Lonchura striata: one gene and its partners. The protein of the gene in region 3 interacts with the protein of the main gene of each other region in a pairwise test. Links are inferred from orthologs where the notes say so. Each region holds a gene or a part of one and is shown on either strand. Other genes may lie near its edges. The genes, in order: PSMD9, STAC and NCKIPSD.

The links.
Region 1: the proteins of NCKIPSD (region 3) and PSMD9 interact in binary tests that used the Homo sapiens proteins (3 or more experiments, as listed by UniProt). The two-hybrid records come from large-scale screens. The link is inferred for Lonchura striata from reciprocal best matches to the Homo sapiens genes NCKIPSD and PSMD9.
Region 2: the proteins of NCKIPSD (region 3) and STAC interact in binary tests that used the Homo sapiens proteins (3 or more experiments, as listed by UniProt). The link is inferred for Lonchura striata from reciprocal best matches to the Homo sapiens genes NCKIPSD and STAC.

Annotation. Positions count from the first base shown.
Region 1 is NC_134620.1:12,307,660-12,314,748, reverse strand, and holds the start of PSMD9 (26S proteasome non-ATPase regulatory subunit 9), read left to right. Parts: upstream 1-3,992; 5' UTR 3,993-4,015; coding exon 4,016-4,129; intron 4,130-4,213; coding exon 4,214-4,316; intron 4,317-5,014; coding exon 5,015-5,208; intron 5,209-5,635; coding exon 5,636-5,737; intron 5,738-6,231; coding exon 6,232-6,320; intron 6,321-6,653; coding exon 6,654-6,681; 3' UTR 6,682-7,089. Other genes in the region: HPD (4-hydroxyphenylpyruvate dioxygenase), read right to left, coding at 1-74, 203-285, 377-419, 557-661, 1,678-1,740, 2,476-2,502, 2,722-2,724. UniProt on the Homo sapiens protein: Acts as a chaperone during the assembly of the 26S proteasome, specifically of the base subcomplex of the PA700/19S regulatory complex (RC).
Region 2 is NC_134603.1:108,980,018-108,987,182, forward strand, and holds the start of STAC (SH3 and cysteine-rich domain-containing protein), read left to right. Parts: upstream 1-4,123; 5' UTR 4,124-4,213; intron 4,214-5,105; 5' UTR 5,106-5,126; coding exon 5,127-5,243; intron 5,244-5,272; exon of another isoform or gene 5,273-5,464; intron 5,465-7,165. UniProt on the Homo sapiens protein: Promotes expression of the ion channel CACNA1H at the cell membrane, and thereby contributes to the regulation of channel activity.
Region 3 is NC_134614.1:12,596,543-12,603,509, forward strand, and holds the start of NCKIPSD (NCK-interacting protein with SH3 domain), read left to right. Parts: upstream 1-3,925; 5' UTR 3,926-4,003; coding exon 4,004-4,174; intron 4,175-6,967. UniProt on the Homo sapiens protein: Has an important role in stress fiber formation induced by active diaphanous protein homolog 1 (DRF1). Induces microspike formation, in vivo. In vitro, stimulates N-WASP-induced ARP2/3 complex activation in the absence of CDC42.

The DNA of each region.
Region 1 (7,089 bases), on a different chromosome or scaffold from region 3:
AACTTCACCTTCCCAAATTTGTCCTGCTCCACCCACGGCTCCTTCACCACCACGGCGCCGCGCTCCTTGGCTTTCTGGGCAGAAGGAGAGAGATCCCGTCCTGCCACAGCTCCCCTGGGCCGGGGAGGACATCCCAAGGCCCTCCCTGCCTCCCCTCACCGTTCTGGGGGGCTGTGTGGGAGGTGGTGGAGGGGCTGCCCACCTGCACGATGAAGTCACAGTCCTCCACTTCGAAGGCGACGTCCTTCACCCCGTCCCCGTGCTTCACCAGGTGCTCCCCCATCTCTGCCCCGAGCAGGAACAGCCACAGGCATGAGCAGAACTGCTTTGTTCTGCCATGGCCATTTTCTACTCCATCCCCCCCAGTGACACCTACCCTCATTCCCTGGGTTCAGAGCAGATGAGAAAACAAACACGATCTGTCGAGGAAGAGGAGGAGAGGTGAGGATGGAGCCACAGGTGATGGTTTTCATGGTGGGTTTGGCAGCACCCTCATGTCTGATGCACCTCACCTTTCCCTGCCCTGGCAGTGGCACCTCTGTCAGGGCTCCCTTACCTTGTCCTGCTTGATGACATGTGACACCACCTCCCTGCTGCCGGTCTCCAGCCCCCGGTAGGCCAGCTCCTCAAACCCCAGCTTGTTGCAGTAGTAGGATGCAGCCTGTGGGCAGGAAAGAGTCCCTCTGGTTGAAGCTGAGGTGCTGGTGGCCCACAGGCCATGGAGATCAGCCACCATGGCAGGTGCAAGTCACACTTGCCCTGTGTGTGTGTGAGAACAGGCAGCATCTTCGCCTCCTCCCACAGCCCAGGGGCAACAAACAGAGGCAAGAAAGGTCTGGGATTGAGGAAGAAGTCCAAATTCAGTGGGAAGTGCTGCCTCCAGAACTTTTTGTGAGGGATGCCATGGAGCAGGAGACATTTCTGCGTGTCCCCTTCTGCCAGGTTGGGTGAAAAGCAGCTCGGGTGTGAAGCAGAGAGGTGTTTAAGTTGCCCAGGGCAAGGGATGGAAATCAGCTGCCATGAGCCCATGGTTCACGTCCCACGCCCCCGGCAGCCGCCCCTGCCTTGCGCAAGGGCCACCAAGGCCACCGGCGCCAGGCCAGGGCTGGGCTTTGGGACAGCGGCACAGCCCAGGGGCTGCCGGGATGGACCAACGCCCCCCGGGCAGCCAATGCCTGCAGCGCCCGGCCTGTCCCACCTGGGAGGTGTCCCCTGGCACTGCTGTCCCCTGGCACTGCTGTCCTGTGGCACTGCTGTCCTGTGGCACTGCTGTCCCCAGGCACTGCTGTCCTGTGGCACCGCTGTCCCCTGGCACTGCTGTCCCCTGGCACTGCTGTCCTGTGGCACTGCTGTCCCCTGGCACCGCTGCCCCCAGGCACCGCTGCCCCCAGGCACTGCTGTCCCCTGGCACTGCTGTCCCCTGGCACTGCTGTCCTGTGGCACTGCTGTCCTGTGGCACTGCTGTCCCCTGGCACTGCTGTCCTGTGGCACTGCTGTCCCCTGGCACCGCTGTCCCCTGGCACCGCTGTCCCCAGGCACTGCTGCCCCCAGGCACTGCTGTCCTGTGGCACCGCTGTCCCCAGGCACTGCTGTCCCCAGGCACCGCTGTCCCCAGGCACTGCTGTCCCCTGGCACCGTGGTCCCCTTGCACTGTGCCCGGCGGCCGCAGCCTCTCACCTGCTTGGCATTGCCGACCCAGAAGGTGATGGAGTGGAAATGGATGAAGCGGCCTCGTTGGGGCTAAAAGGGAGGGAAAATGGGGCTGAAAGCTGCTGCTGCATTTCCTGCAGCACTGCTCGGCTCCAGAGCAGGGGAAAGCAGCAGCTGGGACCCTGAAATGCATCTCCTGCAAATGAATCTGAAATAACTGGGTGGAACGGCCCCCAGATGGTGATTTTCCAAAGTGCTTTACAGTCAAGCCCTACAGGATCCTGCACCACAGGTTGGAAGGTGCAAAACATCGATTCACCTTTGCCCACAGCCACAATTCCAGTTCTCCCAGTGCTCCCCGCAAGTGGCCATCCCAGCGAGCTGCCCACCTGCAAACCTCGCTGTGTTAAAGATTAATTCTTCCACAAAAGCTCTTACACAACCACCAGCACCAGGACAGATCCCTCTTTGCTCTGTTCCCCACCACTGCCCAACCTGGCACAGGCCACTCTGCAGTGGACACACTTTAAAAGTGAAAAAAGAGGCAAAAAAGTGCAGCATTTGAAAATAAATGTTGCATGGAACAAGGATTCTGCTTAAGGCTAAGTTTGACTGGGAAATACCCATCATCTCCTGTTCATCACTCTCCTCCCAAAGCAGAAATTTCAGTTATTAATACTAATTTACAACGAGGATCTTGTGTGACCCAGCCAGAGCAGTTTTACTTCTGATTTCAACAGGTAAACAAGGAATTGATACAATCTGCAGTAACATGACCCATGTTTCACACCAGGCAGAAGGGCAGGACAGGGACACAACTCTTACCTTTTCTCCCTTGTCTGTGTAGGACGTCTGAAAGAAAATGAGAAAAGAGAGAAATTAGAGGGACAGGCAAGTACAGCGGCCCCAGGGAGCTGAATTTAAAGGTCAGGCTGTGAGGAGCAGCTCTGGTGTGCCACTTCCAGCATAGTCACTGGAAAATCCGAATTCAAGCAGAGCTTAAATCTCCCAAGGCATCCTGTGCCATAGAGCCCCAGTTGTCTGAATTAATTCCCATCTGCTGCCCCTCACCATTTTTGTGACCTGGCAATGTGACACAAGCAAAGAGAGTGCAAGAACGGGGGGGCTTTCAATATAAGGGGATGGGGAGGCTCCTCCTCGGCCCCACCTTCCCCCACCACCAACCCAGGGATGTGTTTGGTTTTGGCTGGGAACTGCCCAAAGGGGGGTGGCGGGCGGCTGTCACTGGGGCCGTGGCACGGGTCCCTGCACCCTGGCGGTGGCACTGCGGGGTGAAACGTGCAGGGTGCCGAGGGCACGGGAGGCTCTGCGGAGGGCTGGCACCAAATCCCTGCCCCGTGCGTGTCACAGTCACGGGGGGCGGGGGGGTGACGCGATTTGGGCAGCGCATCCCCCGGCCCGCCCGCTGCCCCTGGGGACATTCACCCCTCCCTGCGGACATGTCATCCTGGGCAGCCTGCCCACCGCTGGGGGTGTGGTGGTGTCTGGGCACGGGGCCACGCGGTGCCACCTTCAGCCCCGGTGAGCTCAGCGCTGCAGGGACCCCAAAATGTGGGACAGCAGGGGGAGGGGACAAGAGATGGCCCCGCAGGGGAGATACCAGAGCACAAATTCCACCTGGCTGGGAGTGGTGGGATGTCGCAGCCACCAGCAAGGCCAGAGGATGAGCACAGGGGGCTTGGGTGGGTGCCAGTGGCACTGAGGACAGGGCTGGGGGTCTCGTGGCGGGGCTGTCCCCTGTTGCCACACTCCCTGGGACATGGATGCCATGCAGCACCGGGCAAATGTGCTGTGCCACAGACTGGAGAGGGGCCAGCAGCAGGGACAGGGACATCGTTTACCACGGCTGTGTCACGCGGTGGTGGTGACACCGCTGCGCTACTACATGTCACCATCAAAGCTGTGTAACTCACTGATGGTGACACTGCTGTGCCACCACGTGTCACCATCAGAGCCACCCCATGGCACCAGCACAGCAGCGTGACCCGGTGACGGCGACACCGCTGGGCCACCCCGTGCCGGCGGTGCCGCCGCTGTGTCGGTGCTGTGTCGGTGCTGTGTCGGTGCTGTGTCGGTGCTGTGTCACCGCCGTGTCACCCCGGTAGTGCCGCCGCTGTGTCGGTGCTGTGTCGGTGCTGTGTCACCCCGGTAGTGCCGCCGCTGTGTCGGTGCTGTGTCACCCCGGTAGCGCCGCCGCTGTGTCGGTGCTGTGTCGGTGCTGTGTCGGTGCTGTGTCACCGCCGTGCCACCCCGGTAGCGCCGCCGCTCCGCCGCCCCGCTCCGTCCCGCTGGCCCCGCCCCGGCCCCGCCCCGCGCCCGTCCCGGCTCCCGTCCGGCCGCGGCCATGGCGGAGCCCGGCGAGGGCCGCCCCGTCACCGTCAGCGATGTCCAGCAGCTGGTGCGGCGCAAGGACGAGGTCGAGGCGCAGATCAAGGCGTGCTACGAGCTGCTGGAGGGGGTCGGTGCCCGGGCAGGGCCGGGCCGGGCCGGGGGGCGCCGTGCGGGCCCGGCCCCCTCCCAACCGCCGCCTCTCCCCTCGCAGCAAAAGGGCGTCGGGATGCACGAGCCGCTGGTGGACGCCGAGGGCTTCCCCCGCTCGGACATCGACCTGTACCAAGTGCGCACCGCCCGGCACAACATCATCTGTGAGCGGGGAACGGGGGCCGGGCACCGGGCGGGGGGCTCGTCCCGGGGCCGCGCCGCCGTGCCGCGGGATGAGCCGGGAAACCGGGATGAGCGGGGCAAAGGCTGTGCCCGGGGACCGGCAGCGCGCAGCTCCCTGAAACCCCGTGTCGCTCGTTCCTCGGAACCGGGCCCAGCGCTGCGCTGAGCCTGCTCCCCGGGGGATCTGCTCAGTGCTCCGAGCTGCCGCCCGGGCTGAGTCAGGAAAATGCTTTTGTCCACGTGTTGCTGAAATTCTGCCACTGCTGCGGAGCCATTTGGGGTCTGTGAAGCACCACAAGGTTTTTCTGTGCTGTTTGTAGAATAAAATTTGGGTAGGAAATAGCTTGGCGTTTATTTCATCCCAGGCTTTTCCAGTGCCCTGACTTTCAGGATGGGTACGTATGTAACAGCAGGTGACTTAATGGAAAGAAGATTTAAGCTGCTCACCGAGTTCTAGGGGATCAAGGGCCTCCCAGCATGTTTACCAAAATTCTCGTAGGGTGGTTTTCTCTGTGTCAGACTTTTACTGATAAACATCTGCCGGGCTGGCACCAGGCCCCAGCAGATAGAGCAGAGCTTCTTGCTGAGATCAGAGACAGCCAAGGCACTGCTCTGTGTGGCTGACACCCCTTTGGGGGACGCCTTTCCACTCCCTGTGCGCTCATGGTGTCACCCACAGGTTTGCAGAACGATCACAAGGCCCTGATGAAGCAGGTGGAGGAAGCTCTGCACAAGCTGCACGCCCGGGAGAAGGAGAAACACGCCAAGGATGAGGCAGAGGCCTTGGCCGAGGCCATGAGCCAGAAGCAGAGCCTGCCCCAGGCCTTTGCCAAAGTGAACACCGTGACCCCGGGCTCTCCTGCCAGTGTCTCAGTATGTTGGGCACAGCTCGTGGGGAAGGCTTTGTCTGGAGCCAGACAGCTCATGGCTCCCTCCCCCATAAGTGGGAATAAGCTGGGGGCTTGATTAGGGTGTCACCCCCTTTTTTTAATCGTGTTGGGATGTCCTGTGAAGGGGTTGGTCGCTGTACAGGGATGAGATGGGTGTTCTCTGAGCTGTATCCTGGCACCACACAGTTCCTTCCAGGCCTCACTGACCATTCCAGCCTCAGAATTTCTCTTCCCATGAAACAGAACAGAGGAATGAACACTTGCCTCTCCCTGTGGCTGTAGTGATGTTCACTTGCCCGAGTGTGAGAAGTGTTGTAGCACATCTCTCTCCCTGTGGCTGGGTGAAGGGTGGTGCTCCTGTGATACCACCTGTCTTTAGAGAATGCAGATGCTCATCTATCTCTGTCCAGGGACTTCAAGTTGATGACGAGATTGTGGAGTTTGGATCTGTCAATGCAAACAACTTCCAGAACCTGCAGAACATTGCCACGGTGGTGCAGCACAGCGAGGGGGTGAGCTCATTCCTGCTGTGACTGCATTCTCTTGCCTGTCTCTGTTAGCCACAGCTTTTTCTATGGAACTTGAATCTCTGGAATCATCATTTCCATGTCAGAAACAGTGTCAGATTCAGTCTGTGCAGTTGTTGCCTTGTTCTTTCCCAGCACTATTTGCTCATGAATGGAAGAGCTGAGAGGTGTGTGCTCTTTGTTCTCCCCGGGGACTCCCTGCAGCAGCTTTGCTGTGCCACCCTCGTGGCCTGGCCAGAGAAGCTGCCACAACCATTAAGTGCTTGGTGGTGGAACTGGGGGATCTCCTGGAGATGACCTCACACAAAGCACTCTCTTCTTTCAGTTATAGCCACAGGAGTGGGAATGGGCACTGCTGCAGAACAGTTCCTCGGGCTTAATGTTCTTCATGTGCTTCAGGCAAAAGGAGGAAGAGAGTTGACTTTATGATGGAAAAGTGAAATATTTTGGTTATTTTTCTATTTTTACCTCTCTTTCAGAGACCCCTGAGTGTGACTGTGATCCGTGGTGGCAGAAGGGTGCACGTGGGGCTGACTCCAAAGCGCTGGTCTGGGAAGGGCCTCCTGGGGTGAGCTACTGTTTCATTGCTGGAGGGAAGAGGCTTTCACCAGCTCAGGGCATGTTTCCTGAGCAGGGCCAGCCCTGGCTGTGTCACTGCCCACTGTGACAGACCTCACAGGTGGGCACCAGGGAGCTGGATTTGCTGGTTCTGCACAGGGATACAGGGAGTCAAGTTTCATCAAACATGAGCCCAGGCAGAAAGGTCTCAGTGGCTGGTTTGTCTGGTAGAGGAAACCAGTGGAAGAGGGTTGTGGAGGGTCTGAGCCATCCCACGTCAGGTCTTCTGTGCCTGTTTGAGAAATGAAAATTTAATATTTCCTCCTACCCTCTTCTTTTTCAGCTGCAATATCGTTCCTTTACAAAGATGACCGTGACTGGGAGAACAATAAAGCTGAAGCTTGTGCCTGTTTTCTGGACTCTGATCTGGTTTGAAAACTTCCTACGTGGTGTTGCTGTGACCTCTGGTGCCTGAAGGGTTCTGGCAGAGTTCTGCAGTTCAGAATTGCACTGGTTGTCAGGAGGAACCTGCAGAGCTGCAAGATGTGGCTTCTCATCTCTTCCACCTTGTATCAGTTTAGAATAAGGCTCTAGAGAGACCCAAATCTCACTTGATACACACTCTGAAGAGCTTGAAATGCTCTTTTTTGGTGATAACAGAGCATTCCTTTTTTCTCCCCTTTAAAACTCCTTGCTAAATATCATGTAATATATGCTAAGAAGTCCTAGAATACTTCTTGATCCAAAAAGGCAAGAGATATGCAAGTTTGATACTTCAT
Region 2 (7,165 bases), on a different chromosome or scaffold from region 3:
CCTGCTTAAGTACAAGCACAAATCTGTTGGTTTGGCTTCTTCCACAGTTACTCATTTGCTACACTCCCTGGAGCAGTGGGAGGCTTAATACTTTGCCTCTAAAAATTACTTTGAGATTATTTAGTCAAAATGCAGGCCACCAGTGTTCCATTAGTACCAGGAATGCTTTCAGAGCATTGACCAGCTTTTGCTTCCAGCTTGATGAGTTGATGATTGTGGCCCTGAGATGGCATTTAGATATGCAGAATCCACAGGGATTTGTTGGTATGTTAGCTGCTCAATGAACTGCCAAGATCGTATAGTAAGCAAACGAGGGGAGGGTGATTATTGTTAAAAATGGGACCACACTCCCAGTACTGAAAGTGATTTCAGCATTTATTATAATAAAAAGGTCTAAAGCGTGGGGGCTCGCAGTCCAAGCAGGAGAGTTCCCATCGAGGATGCTGCAGAGCCAGCGCTGGGTCTTCCTGAGCAGCAATGTCACCAAAGTTCCAGGTGGAGCAGCACAAATTCACTGGGTCAGATGCCCTTTTTATCCTGTTTTTTGTCCCTCTGGATTGGTTCCTGTTTGAATCCATTCATTTGCATGAAGGTTTAAAGCACCTGATTGGCCCATTACAGTTCTGTCCAGGCTGACTCCTTTTGTCTGGGTTTTGATGCACTTTTACTTAGGTGTAATACAGCACGTTGAGTACCGTATTTCTTATAACTACTCTTTTAACCCCTTTACAATAGAATAACTAAACCAAAAGTACATGCTTAACAATTATCAACTATTTTACACCAGTTTCTAGACTATTTTTAACAATTATAAATAAAACCCCCAGCCACGGGATACTATTTTAATCTTGTTTTCTCTGTGGGTACAATGTCTGCTGCAGAGAAGAGCCCACTAGCCTGTCACTTGGAAGAACAGAGAGATACTCAGCAATGGTCTTTGCAGTCTAGTAGCCAGATGTGGGTGAAACAGATGTTTGAGAGAAGAGTCCAGTGAAGATATCAACCACCATTTCCGGCCAAAAGCACCATGCCAAAAGTAAAATTCTCATCACAGATGGCACAAGGCATCCTCTTGTCATTTTCCACAATGACATATATTTGACAAAGAAACAGAACTACTTCTCACCTGGAATACTCAAGAAAGAGAACTATTTCTTACCTGGAATGCTCATAAATTGGCCTGAGGGACTTAGGGTGAGGCTGATCAAGTTTCACTGCAAGTGCTACTAGGACAACATTTTAATTTTTGTCTGATAGTTTCTGCAGCTCTTAGTCTGCATCCTCTTGGAGGCTGGATTCTGTGAACTTGATTCTGCTCTCTTTCAAGAGTCTTCTTTAGAGGAATCCAGACTGCAGCAACCAGACTGATTCCTCACTGCTTTGTAAACTTCTAGAGAGTGGTACATAGTAATTTAAACCAACACCATCTACAAGCAATATCATCTCTATGAGCTCCCTTAGACCCTCTGTTCAGAAGCATTGAATGGTTCATGCAGCAAGTTCTGAATACTCCCTTTCCTTTTTCCTTGTTATTTTTTTCTCTACTAACATGGAAGTATAAACAAAATCAAAATATTTGGTAAGTACTGATTTCTTGTCATTCCTTTAGTGAAATATAGCACTGTGCATGTATATCATTGGCAGAGAGGTGGTAAAATATTTCAAAGGAATGTCCATAACAAAAAAGCAAAAAAAGGGATGCAAAAACCATGCTATAGGCCATATCTCACCAGCTTAATCTCGCCACTTTGAAGGTCTCCAGCATGTAGGACTTGGCAGCACAGCAAGTGTGTATATATTCCAGGAGTCAGGAGCTTCAGGGATGCTCTTATCAGTCTGGCTTCAGCCAGAGCTTAGGAAGAACTACAGCCCAGTGAGGAGGGCTGTGCCACACCACATCCTGTCCTCTTTGTGTGTGGGACCAGAGAGGGGGAGTGAAGAAGGGCAGACAAGCCATGGCACCCATGCAGCCAACATCAGACCAGGGCACCCATGCAGCCAGCATCAGACCACCAGCAGAGGAATACTTGGCAGGGCCTCCAGGCAACACACAACAGCCTTTACACAGCCGAACAACTCCAGCTGGGGGCTGGGAATTGGTGCTCATGTTTTATTCATCCAAATTGCTTTTCCCCACTCTAGAAATCTACACTCTCTACGCTACAGAAGCTGTTCAACTTCCTCTTGTTTAGCACTGTGCTGCACTACTCCCATTTCCTCTGAGCTCCTTTAGGTAGAGTCTGATCAGCAGTAATCACAAGTCCAGCTTCTCTGGAGTGAAGCGTGGGTGAGAGACGTAAGTTCCTCTAGCTTGATCAGTCTGTTTTGCTATACTATATATTAGATCTTCGATAGCCAGCTCCCATGGAAGGAAATGAAAATGTAACAAATCCAGTTTCTTTTCCTTTTTGCTTTTTTGGTAAAATTTTATGCTTGACTCATCTTTCCCAAGCTAATTGTCAAGAAACTGACAAATCCATCGTGGTTGACAAGTGAGTAATTGGGGGAAGAGAAGGAGTGTAGCAGGTGTTAGTACTAATTTGGTAAAACAATTAAAGTAAAGAGTGGTATGATAGTCACTTACACAGTCATGACGTTACAAGCTCTTCATACAAAATGTGTGCAGGATTTTACAACACTTAGAGAATTAACTATTAACCAGCCACTCCCCAACCATTTCAAAGGTAACCTCCAAGTTCACCATAAGATGTTTTTGAACCTCTTAACAGGAAAGAGTCAATCACAACACTTGTGGGGAACCAGACTGAATATAGTTTTATGATTCTCACCTGTCAGGTTGCTGGGCACACAGAAGAGTCCTTGCGGGGGGCAGACCCCATGTGCTGGCCATGGCTTGGCTGTTCTAGGCTGGATCATCAGGGAAGGATGCTACTGCCAGAACTGGAGCATTCAATTGCGGTTGCCCTGCCAAGATCTCCGTTGCTCACAGCTGCCCTAATTCTCCAAAACTGTGGCTCTAACAAGTCACTGCTCATTGCTAAGAGGATGATTTTACAGCAAAGACCAAATCTTACTTGCTGAGTGAAGAAATTACCTTTGCACCTGGAGAATTTCTCCACCACTGAAGGGAATGGTCTAAGACACTGCTGCATTTCAGAAAGCAAGCCCTTGGAAATAAATTCTTCTTCTTTACCTGCCAAATCTGCCCCTCTGAGCTCTGTATTTCCTTTCTTCAATCTCAGTTGTTACTGCCACTGCCTCAAGAGCAAACAGTGTTCTCGTTTTGATCCCTGTAATCGTGTTAGTGTCTACAGGCCAAATAATAGGTTCTACTGGCAGACCCGTAAGACACTCTTTTGCTCTGAAGTAGCTGTACAAATAGCATTGCAGCATTTCATCTTTATTGTCTGCTAAGGATTTTGGTATTTTATATGCTCTGTTTCAAAAACATAAAGATCTTTTCCCCATCTAAGTTCTAGTCCTGAAGATTCACTGGGGATTCAAAGAGAAGCTGAATTTTTTCCTGGCTTCTGCATAGCTATTAAGAATACAGAGGCTGCAGGGCAATTTCTGCTCTTGCTTTCATCTGTATAACCCCTACTATACTGTAAACTTGCTTTCACTTTCATACATTGATTATTTGAGGTGAAGGAGGCCTTCAAGGCAGCTCCAAGTAGCAACTGTGTTTCTAAGGGATGGGGACAGAGGGGAATCTGGTATCCTCTCCCAGAGCTACAAGGTACTGAAGACCATCTCTGACTTAGATCTGACCAAATCACCTCCAAACACCTGTATACATCCACTAAACAACTATTCTTTTTCTTCTTAATTTCCAGTATGTAACTATGGCTATTAAAAACATATTTGGGTTGCTTTTTTCTGCTTTCTTTAAATGAAAGAAGTCATCTCCAGCAGCCACATGGAGTGGCACCCGCTCAGCAAGGCATATCTGGTGGGAAGCACATCCATTCAACCTTTTGCAATAGAGACCTCAGTTCAGCAGGGAAGAGAGCTGACAAGCACCTTTGCAGCAGATTTAAATCAGAGGCAGAACCTCGAGCAATATAAAGCAATCTGAGGCAGACAGCAAAGTCACGCTGACCTTCTGCCAGCAGTACTGCAGACCCAAGCGTGACTTCAGGTGCTGCATCTTCAGGAATGACAGCACTGGGGGAATCCAACAGGCTCTTCCCAATGGCTGCCTCTGTTCTGCTGCTGCCTGATGGAGTGTTATCACTATGACAACCTACAGGTATAGTATGTGCATGATAGTGAGAGCTCCAGATGACCCAGATTGCGTGTGTATGGCTCAGAGCTGGGCTTCCCTGCCTGGGAGGGGAGCAAGGAACACGTGGATCCACAGGTAACTCTCCCCTGACTCTGTCTTGTCGTTTGCTAGCAAGCTGGGGATGTGGGCAAGGTGGGAGCCTTAGAGACACTGAGTAGCTAGGATTTTAAATAATCTCTGGGACAAGGAAAAAAGAGTCATTTTTCCTCTTCTTCAGTAAAAGACATGAAAGAATATGAGGGTACCCTTCAACTCTGTCTTTGCTAGTGTGTTAAAAAGGTAAAATGCTTCTAAACGTCGTAGTCACTGCCTGCCTGTGTGTGTGTGTGTGTGTGTGCATGCACGCGTTACTTTCTTTCACTACTATGACAGCACATGCTCCTCCAGAGCTATTCACAGCATTAGAAATACAACTCCTCCCTCCAGTGCCGTGTGTGTGTCTGTGTGTGTGTGTGTGTGTGTGTGTGTGTGTGTGTGCATGTGTGCGTGGCTTGGGCTTGCTGCTTCAGCTCACTCCCCTCTGACTGTGGGGCTGGCGGTCACGACACCGCTCCGCACTTCCAGGCTTCATATGGAGGGGAGGAGTATCGTGGAAAAGCAGGCACACGAGTGACCTACAGAACCATCGATAACTTACTCCCTCGCAGCACAATCGCATAGGAAAGGGGAGGGGAGGAAGGAGGGGAAGGAGGAGGAGAAGGGGGGAGAAAAAAAGAAAATCCAGAGAATTCTACTCTGGCAAATACAGTGAAACCAAGCGGTCGGAGTTCATTTGCTCTAAAAGAGCAGAGAAGAAAGAGGACGTTACGTGAAAAAAATCAAGAACCATCTGTAGCCTTTTTTTTTCCCCTGATAGTAGCAGTGTTTTAGAGGTAAAATGATTCCTCCGAGCAGCACGGCTGAAGTCAGCGTGGACAGTGTGGAGAAAGAGAATGAAGCGGAGAGCACAGAGCAGCCCCCGTCTCCAGCATCAACTACCAGCCAGGAATCAAAGGTACTCAGAGAATGAGATTTTTTTTTTTTCCCTCTTTCTTTGTTTTGAAAAGAGATGTATTGCTTTGATTTTCATTTGGAGCCCTGTGCCAGGATCAGCGGCAGAGTGCAATGAGCCACCTCTGACTGCGGTGCCTGCTCCGACACTCCTGCTTCTTCTGAATTCTCTCTGTCACCTCAGGAGTCTGAGCTGGGGAAATACCTGCCTTCTGAGATGCTTGGGTTTGTGGATTTTTGCCTCTGTTTTCTTCTCCTTGTTATGGTAACATGCTGGGGTAGTGACGGGGCTCGGGGAGGGGATCGCTGTCAGTGGACGTTGTTAGCTATTTTCACACCAAGTATCAGATCACTTAAAGGGTTTTTGGAAAAAAATTCTTTTCCTCAAAGGTTCAGAGAAAATAATTCTGTCTGGGGGCTTGGGGTATTTCACTTGACTTTACTTCTCTGGCAGACTCATCAGTGAACTTTCACTGTTTAATGAGTCTGCTAAAACGGGAGATAAGTCACAGCTTTACAACAACGAACCTTATGTACACCACACAGAAAAGGATTTTTGTTTTCTTTTTGTGAGTTTTTCTGTGTGGTTCAGTTTACCTTATTGAAAATCAACTTTCAGCTCAAATGGCATGGCCTCTGAATTTTTAATTGACTTGCATGCGAAAAGTTTTTCTGACTGCCAGGGTGTAACTTGGAAGACAGAGGTAAAAGGTAGAGTAGTAACCTTACACAATGAAAGTTCCTTACAGCTGACTTGGATAATATGCTTTTACTGATGCTCTGTTACTTATGATTGATACCATGATAGCACCTGACAGATCTTTCTGTGAACTTCATACTGTGATGCTGTGTAAACTTGTAAAAATAGGGGGGTTCTTGTCACTAGGAGCTTACAGGTGGGTAAAGCCTCAGGAGGTGTGAGCAAAACAGCTGCTTGACAGGGAAGGTCTTGTGCTGGCCTGAGTTTAAAGGCAGTGGCTGCCTGAGTCTGATATAGAAAGACTGTTACATTATTCTGCAGTTACAGCTTTCCACTTTCCGGAGAGTGAGCTCAAATTATCTGTCTGTGTGGGTAGAGTTTTGATGTGGGCTTTGAGCTTCATTATTTTATATATTTATTTAGAAGCTATACTCCAAGGAGGAGAGCTGAGGTATTCCCTGTGTAATGCAACCTCTTTAAAAGAGCTTTTCCAGTAATAATAGCATACAATATTCACTACACACATTTAGCTCTACTGGAGTTTCCCTGGTTCATGGAAAATGAAAAGTAAATGGATTATTGGTATAAGCCTGGGCTCTAAAAGGACACGGTACCTAAATCCCACCCCCCTGAGTCCACTTCTCTGGAATTACTGAAGTGTTATATGGGCAGTGGAAAGCTTTGCCTGTAGTGAGGTCCCAAAAGTACCTGCAGCTTTCACTGCATTGCCAGCACCAGCTGCTCAAGTGTTCTGGGCTGTGCATGGGGCCTGGTGGGCTGTGTGCTCCCCGTGATCCCAGCTGTGATGCTCACCCTGTGCCAGAATGGCTAAGGAACTCCATGTGCCACTTGATAACAATGGTGCTTGAGGGATTTTCCTGCTGGGTCACGGAATGCTGTTCCCAAAAGAGACTGGCATGGATCCAAAACTCAAGAGAAAGTGAAGAGCTGCTCAGAGGGTTCCCCCTTGCTGTTTGTGCACCCGTGTGTTTCCAAGGATGACAACAGGAATTAGGCACATCTGGCCAGAGAACAAATAGGCTGCAAACTAGCTTATAATCAAACATTGTGATCATCAATTTTGTTCAGTCTTTTGAGCATTTGAAGCAATACACTGGAATAGGCAAAAGCTATGACAAAGCAGTTGATGCCATTACTTGGATAGAGATATTCTTAATAAATGAACAATCTGTGTATTCACATTTTAGAGCTGCAAATATAATCAG
Region 3 (6,967 bases):
ACTCAAAATTAATTCTGTCTGGCTATTGGGTTGGTGGCAGATAAAGTGGCATTGTCCTGAGCCACTTGTTTCCACAGCACGGCATTGGAGCCTGCAGAGCTGCCCCGGCAGGGAGAGATGGGAAAGAGCAGTGCCGGCCCACGGAGTACGTGGGTTGGCAAGGGGCTCCTCAGGTCTGGACATGAGCAGAGTTTAACAAAGAACAGGGAGCTGTTGTGTGAAGCCAAAGAGCTTGTTTTCCTGAAGAGAAGCTACAGAGCACGCAAGGCTGTATGCTGCTCGCCTTGTAACCTGCAGCGCCTCAATCCTTCCCACAGCATCCCCCGGCCCCCCCTCCACCATCCCTCAACTCTCTCGACCTTCTGTCTTCTTCTGTTTCTAGGAAGTGCAGCTGTTGGCAGGCACTGGCTGCTCCTTCCTCCGGCCACAGGAGGGGTCTGGGCCCCAGCCAGCCCCAGCTTTGTGCAGGACTCGTTGCGCAAGGAGCCCTGCGGGCACCTCGGCCCGGCAGGCAGGAGGAACAGAGCGGTCCCAGAGCCACCCACTACCCCGGCAGCTTCAGCTTCTCCACATGTTGTGCTCCATGGGGAAGCGGCCATCAAAAGAGCAGCTCCTCGCGGGTGTTTTCGGGTTCAGCACGGATCACTGTGTTCCTTGCAAGAGGCAGGAGCAGGGCTTGCTCTTGCCCAGCAGAGGACCCGTCCCAGCTTGCTGGCAGGCAGCACAGGTTTGGGGGATTCTCCCATAAGGGAGCTGATGTAGTCGGAGAGGTGAGATCTTCTGGAAGTGATACTGATGTATGCAATTGGAGGGTCCTATCTACAGCCTTTTAGCCAGGTTTTCCAGGAGGTAGGGCCATCAGGACTCCGGGAAATAAGGACATGCCTGGCCATCCTGGCCTTGGACATCCCCAGCCCCTGCAGGGCACACTGAAGACATTGTCCCTGGAGCTTTGGGCCTGGGGTCCTCACAACACCTCACATCCCTATGACTTTTCACCCAGAGAAAGCTGGTGGGAATGCAACAATATTTGTATACCTAAAAGTGGAGTGATTGATCCCACTGCTGTTTTGCAACGTGTTGACGAGCAGACGGTGCAGAATTATATAAGTGTATGTGGAGCTGGCAAGTTTGTGTTCCAATCATATGAATGCTGTTGTGCAACACTTCCCCTCCACAGCTCTGGAGGAAAACAGGAGTGTGGGGGCTGCCACGCATGCACTGAGCCCTTCACAGCTTACAGTGACCCAAGTCCCCCAAGGCTCTGAGGGCAAGGGATGCGAGTATTATTTTCCTGAGGTCTCAAGTTCAGCTTTAAAAATCATCTGCAAGTGACGCAGCAGGATCCTTGTTCGTTGCCCCTCCCTGCCCAATATAATCACCTGGCACTTGCAATTCAGAGCTGATTCCTCAGCAGCAGGAATTTGTCCTGGGCTCTGCATTCTACTCAGATGCAGAAGAAGGGGCCTTTTACAGAGGAAATCCTTCCCAGTTGCTGTCTGGGAGAGCTGGGATGCTGTGCTGAGCACAGGAGGAGACTGGGGTGCTGCTGCTGTGCACGTGGGAGGTGGTTGGTGGGTGCCTGCATCCCCCTCAGCTGCCTCTGCCTGCCAGCACAGCCTGTGCTGCTGACTTCGTGGAAACAAAGCGCCGTTATTCCAGCACAAACAGCTGGGCTTGTGCCAAGGGATGGCCAGGGCTCACCTGGAGTGGGGACACAGTGGCAGGGGGAACACTGCAGCCAAACTGGGCAGGGGACGGGCAAGCAGAGAATCCTGTTCGCATGGGATATGGATGGCTCCACAAGTGGGAATGTTTTCTTTCCTGCAGTGGTGATCCCAGCTGCCCAGCCCTTGCCCACTGTCACGCTTTCCCTGCTGGGCACCTGGAAGGGACTATGACCAGGCAGGAAGTCCAGACCTGAAGGGCTCCTGAAGGATTCAGCCCCAGTTACATCTCACAGTTCTCAGCTAAAGCACCCCACTGTTTTTTCAGCCTGAGTGTGCCCAACTTCAGCTACCGCAGTGATTCCCGGTACCCGCCGCAGTGGGGGAGTCTAGGCAACCGCTCACTCCCACTCCATCCTCCATCCCTGCGTAACCAGGAACAGAATGAATTACCTCACTGCCAGTGCTGGGAAAAGTGAGGGCCTGGGTGGGCTGTGCTGGGAGCAGGCAGGGGGTTGTGGCTGCTGCAAGCCTGGTTTTTATTGTATTACCACTGGTTGGATTGGGTTGTGAATGGTTTCTCAATGAGTTAAACCCCCCTGTAACTGTGAGCGAGGATCTGTGGACTGTTCCATCTCTGCATCCCTGCATCCCAGCAGGATGGCAGAGGTGGGCAGGATGGATGAGGGATATCTTTGTGGTGGGCTTGGGTGCTGTAACCAGGTCCCCACCCACCCAGCTCCTAGGCTGTCTGTGCTGGCTTTGTCAGGTGGAAAATTTGTCTTGTTCCTAGGACAGCATGGAGAAAACCCTGCCTGGGGAAGAGGGAGAGGGAACCATGCCCTGCAGGGCTGCCACCCACTTCCCTGGGACAGTGAGAAGGGCTCAGATCCCCAGGCAGCAGGGATCAAGGGAAGCTGCTGATATCTTGGGGAGGTGGGGTGGCTTGCAGGGGTCTTGGGCTACTTGGAGTAGTGTCCAAAAGGGTTGTTCTCCTGGAATGGGGCAAAGAGATGAATGGGACTGGGGGCTGCTGTGTCTTCATGGAGAGCTCCAGGCCTGATGGGCTGTGCCATGGCCATGTGCCAGGTCACTGTGTCCACTGCAGGTCAGAGCCAGCCCTGGTCGTGCCCCGATCCATGCTAGGGGAGTGCTGGGGAACGGGACCGGGCCAGGGGAGCTCGCTGGGGGAAGCCCTCGTGGCACCCAGGGTGGGGCTGGTGGGCACACAAGGGCTTCAGGGACTCAGTGGCACCGGGTGCTGCAGTACGGCATTCCGAGAGGAGAGGTGCTCAGGGACACTCGCCACGACGGGCAGATTCAGTGGGGAAGCGATGTGCCCGTGGCCAGCTGGGCTACGGTGGGGGACAGAGGGGCCGGGCGGCGGTGGGCGATGGGCGGTAGGCGGGAGCAGCGACCCCAGGGGCCGGCAGTAACCCAGGCACGGTGTGACCGAGGAGGGACACAAACGGGCCGGTGCCGGGGAAGCGCCCGGCCTAATGGATGCTGTGAACGGCCCCTCGGGGTCCGTGCCGGGGTCAGGCCCGGGGGTCAGGCCCGGGGGCAGTGCCCGGGTTCCGTGGGTCTGTCCCGTGGCATCGGCCCGTGAGTCAGTTCTGGGGGTCAGTCTCCGGTGCAGGTGCCCGGGTCGGTACCCGGGTCAGTGCCGTGTCAGTCCGGGTCGGTGCCTGGGTCGGTGCCTGGTCGATGCTGGGGTCGGTGGCCGGGTCGGTGCCGGGATCAGTGCCGGTGTCGGTGTCGGGTCGGTGTCAGGGTCGGTGCCGGTACCGGGATCGGTGCCGGCGCCGGTGCCGGTGTCGGTGCCGGGTCGGTGTCAGGGTCGGTGCCGGTACCGGGATCGGTGCCGGTGCCGGTGCCGGTACCGGGGTCAGTGCCGGTGTCGGTGCCGGTACCGGGATCGGTGCCGGTGCCGGTGCCGGTACCGGGGTCAGTGCCGGTGCCGGTACCGGGATCGGTGCCGGTGTCGGTGCCGGTGTCGGTGCCGGTGTCGGTGCCGGTACGGGGATCGGGGTCGGTGCCGGTGTCGGTGCCGGGGTCAGTGCCGGTGCCGGTACCGGGATCGGTGCCGGTGTCGGTGCCGGTGTCGCTGCCGCCCTAGGGGCGCTGCGCGAGCCGTTGGCGCCCCCTGGCGGCGCAGCGGGCGGCTCGGGGCGGGCGCGCGGGGCGGGGGCAGTGGCGCCGCCGGGCCGCCAGGGGGCGGTGCCGCGCGGGGGGCGGCGCGGCGGCGGCGTGTGGGCGGGGCGGGCGGGGGCGGGCCCGGTCCGGTCCGGTCCGGCGGGCGAGGTGCCGGTGCTGCCGGTGCCGGTGCCGCCGCCATGTACCGGGCCCTGTACAGCTTCCGCTCGGCCGAGCCCAACTCGCTGCCCTTCGCTGCCGGAGAGACCTTCCTGCTGCTGGAGCGCAGCAACCAGCACTGGTGGCTCGTCACCCGCGCCGGCTCTGGCGAGACGGGCTACGCGCCGGCCTCCTACCTCCAGCGGCTGCAGGTGGGCCGGGCCGGGCCGGGCCGGGCCGGGCCGGGCCGGGCGGGGGCGGCTCTGCCGGAGCTCCCGGGGCGGGCGGCGCTGCCCTGGCCCCTGGCGGCAGCGGGGCTTTCCCGGCTGTCCCAGGCTCGGAGCAGCCCAGCCCCAGCCGCTCGCGTCCCTCGCGGGTCTGCCCCGGGAGCCGCCGGCCCGGCTGGGGAAACGGGTGTGCGACTTCTGTGGCTGCCCCCGCAGGGTCTGCGGCAGGCGGGAGCAGTCTGGGACACTGTGGGATGGGAATCCCGTGGTGGCAGGAGGCAGGATTCATCTCCTGTGGTGTCAGGCTTGGGGAGCGCCAGCCCTGCGGGGCAGGGACAAAGTGAGATCTCAGCAGGCTCATCCGGAGGAAGGGGGCTGGGTACGGATCTCCGGGGCCTGAAAGTCTGGCGGGCTGTTCACGCCTGCAGAACTGGGAGAGGAAGCTAGGAGAATCCCTGGGAGATGCTGAGGGGGATTCTCCTCCCAGGAGTAAACATGATTACAGGTAAACTGGAATCTCCCGGCCAGCAGCCGTGGTTGGTGTAAGTTAGTGCACTCCCCATCTCCGTGCTGGCTGCTCAGCCTGGGGGCTCCGTGTGTCTGGCACCCTGACACTGCGAGGATAGTGAGGGGTGATTGTCCTCCTTCCACTAACACACCACGACACCCACAGCACACCCCTGCTGTCCTGGGGGCCAGGAGAAGCCATGGCAGCTGCCTGCCATGGCAGCACTTACAGCCAAGTTGATGATACCGGGAATTACCCAAGGTCCAAGCACCTGCTGTGGCCCTAACTGGGGTCAGAGGATGGAGTACACCGTTTGCTGCTGGGGTGTAAGCACTGTGCCATGCAAGTGTCATGGGAAAGAGATTGCATGTAACTTGTACCGTGCAAGGGCTGCTTAGTGGAGGAAAGTGTGGCTTCTATAATTAAAACGGGTATTTCATATAGAACTAATTCATGGGGGCTTTTGTACTTTTGGGCCACGGGATAGCTGTGGGACCTGGATGCTGAAGACTTTGCATCAGTGAATGGGTAACTGCACAGAAATGCATGTGAATGTTACAAAGGAGCCTTTTGGCATCTGTCTGAAAATGGTGACAACCCTCTTTATTTTAGTGTGCTGCTGCTGCTCCTTCAGATGCCATTGAATTTCTGATTAGCAGAAACTCAGGCTGTAAGTAAGTGTGGGTGTGGGCTTTGCAGAACACTCCAGTGAGAAAGCTTTAACAGGAGAGTGTGTATGTGTGTCAGGGCAACACCAGGTCATTTGATGGCCACTTGGTCCATTCGTCCTGTGAAGCCAGGGCTCTTCTGCAGCCTGGCAGGATGGCCTGATGGAAGGGGACATCTTGTGAATCAATAAGCCTTTAATAAGCTCTGTACAGGAGCTATTTAGTTACAGAGCAAAGACCTTATTAACTGCTAGATGTTAAAGCCCCACAGTGGCATAGCTCCAGGTTGCTGCTCATGAGTTTCCTCTCTGCAGTCTCTTGCTTCATTTGCTTGTGTGGCATGACGTCTTCTCGCTGCTGTGGGTGCAGGAGCCTTCTCCTAGGCTGCTCACTCATACCAGTTTTTCTTGCAGGTACCTTGCTAGTATACATCTCAAAATCTTACAGGAAAAGTATTTATTCTATGACTTTACATTAATTTCTAACATCATATTTTGCTACAGCCTCAACACAGCTTGCAGTCTGCCAGGCTAACTCCTGACATGTTAGTAATGCACTGGTATTAAAGCAGCATTGTTGGGGACTTTGTGGGCATTTCCTCTACTTCAACTCTAACTTTCCCAGATGCCTTTAGACCTTGTTGCGGGAAACAGAGTCTTCCCTGCATCTGCTGATCTGTGTTTTGGCCATTAAATTTCCAGCACCTGAATTTGTTGATGATGTGTGAAGCAGCAGGATCTAATTTGCTGCTCTGCAGATGCAGTCATCCTGCGTGTCTGTGACTGACTTTCTGTTGTTGCATCTTGCCAGCTCTGAAGAGCTGATGTGAAGTTAAAACATGTGTTTATTCATGGCAGAAAGCATCTGCTCACTGAGAGTGTGCTTGAGACTGTTTGCTCAATGTCCAGGAGGAGTGCAAACATTTTGTCACCCAGTTTTGCTTAAATAAGGACACAGAGACCAATTAGTGACAGCGGTTTGGGAGGTAATTAATGCTGCCCCAATCACAGGAGGGAAAAACACCGTTAATGATTGGTGTTAGCAGGGAGAGAGCGTGGCCAACAGGAGTCACCATTGTAAAGGTAAGCTTGGCCTTCCTCAGCAGTGCAGTTAGGTTCCAGGTGAGCAGTAGGGTGGGGAACAGTCAGAGCCCCTCACAGCAACCTGCTGAGAGGATGCTCACGAGGGAGGCTGCTCTTGCTGCTCTGCACTATTAGGAATATTAGTTTTCTTCAGAGCTCCTCTTGCATTTCAGGGTTTTTTTTTTCTCCTCAGCTTTCATGGATATGGGATTGATGTTTTGGCTTCTCTACAAGAAAAAATAATTCCCAGTTATTTTTTAATGCTTATTTTTGCAGGTTTTTTAATTGAAATCCTTCTGGCTCAGTATTGTTGTTAAAGGAGAGTTAGTTGGAGGGGAAAGGAAAGTTCCACCAACAAATCCTCCTTAGAATGCCCCTAAGTAACAAGCTTGGGCCCAGCCAGAGCACCAGAAGGTACAGATGATGTGAAGTTAATTTGAGTCGATTAGAAACGCCCAACTTCAGCTGATATTCCTGCTGATTTTACTCTTCTGTAGTTCCCTTTTAGCTCCTGTTTGGG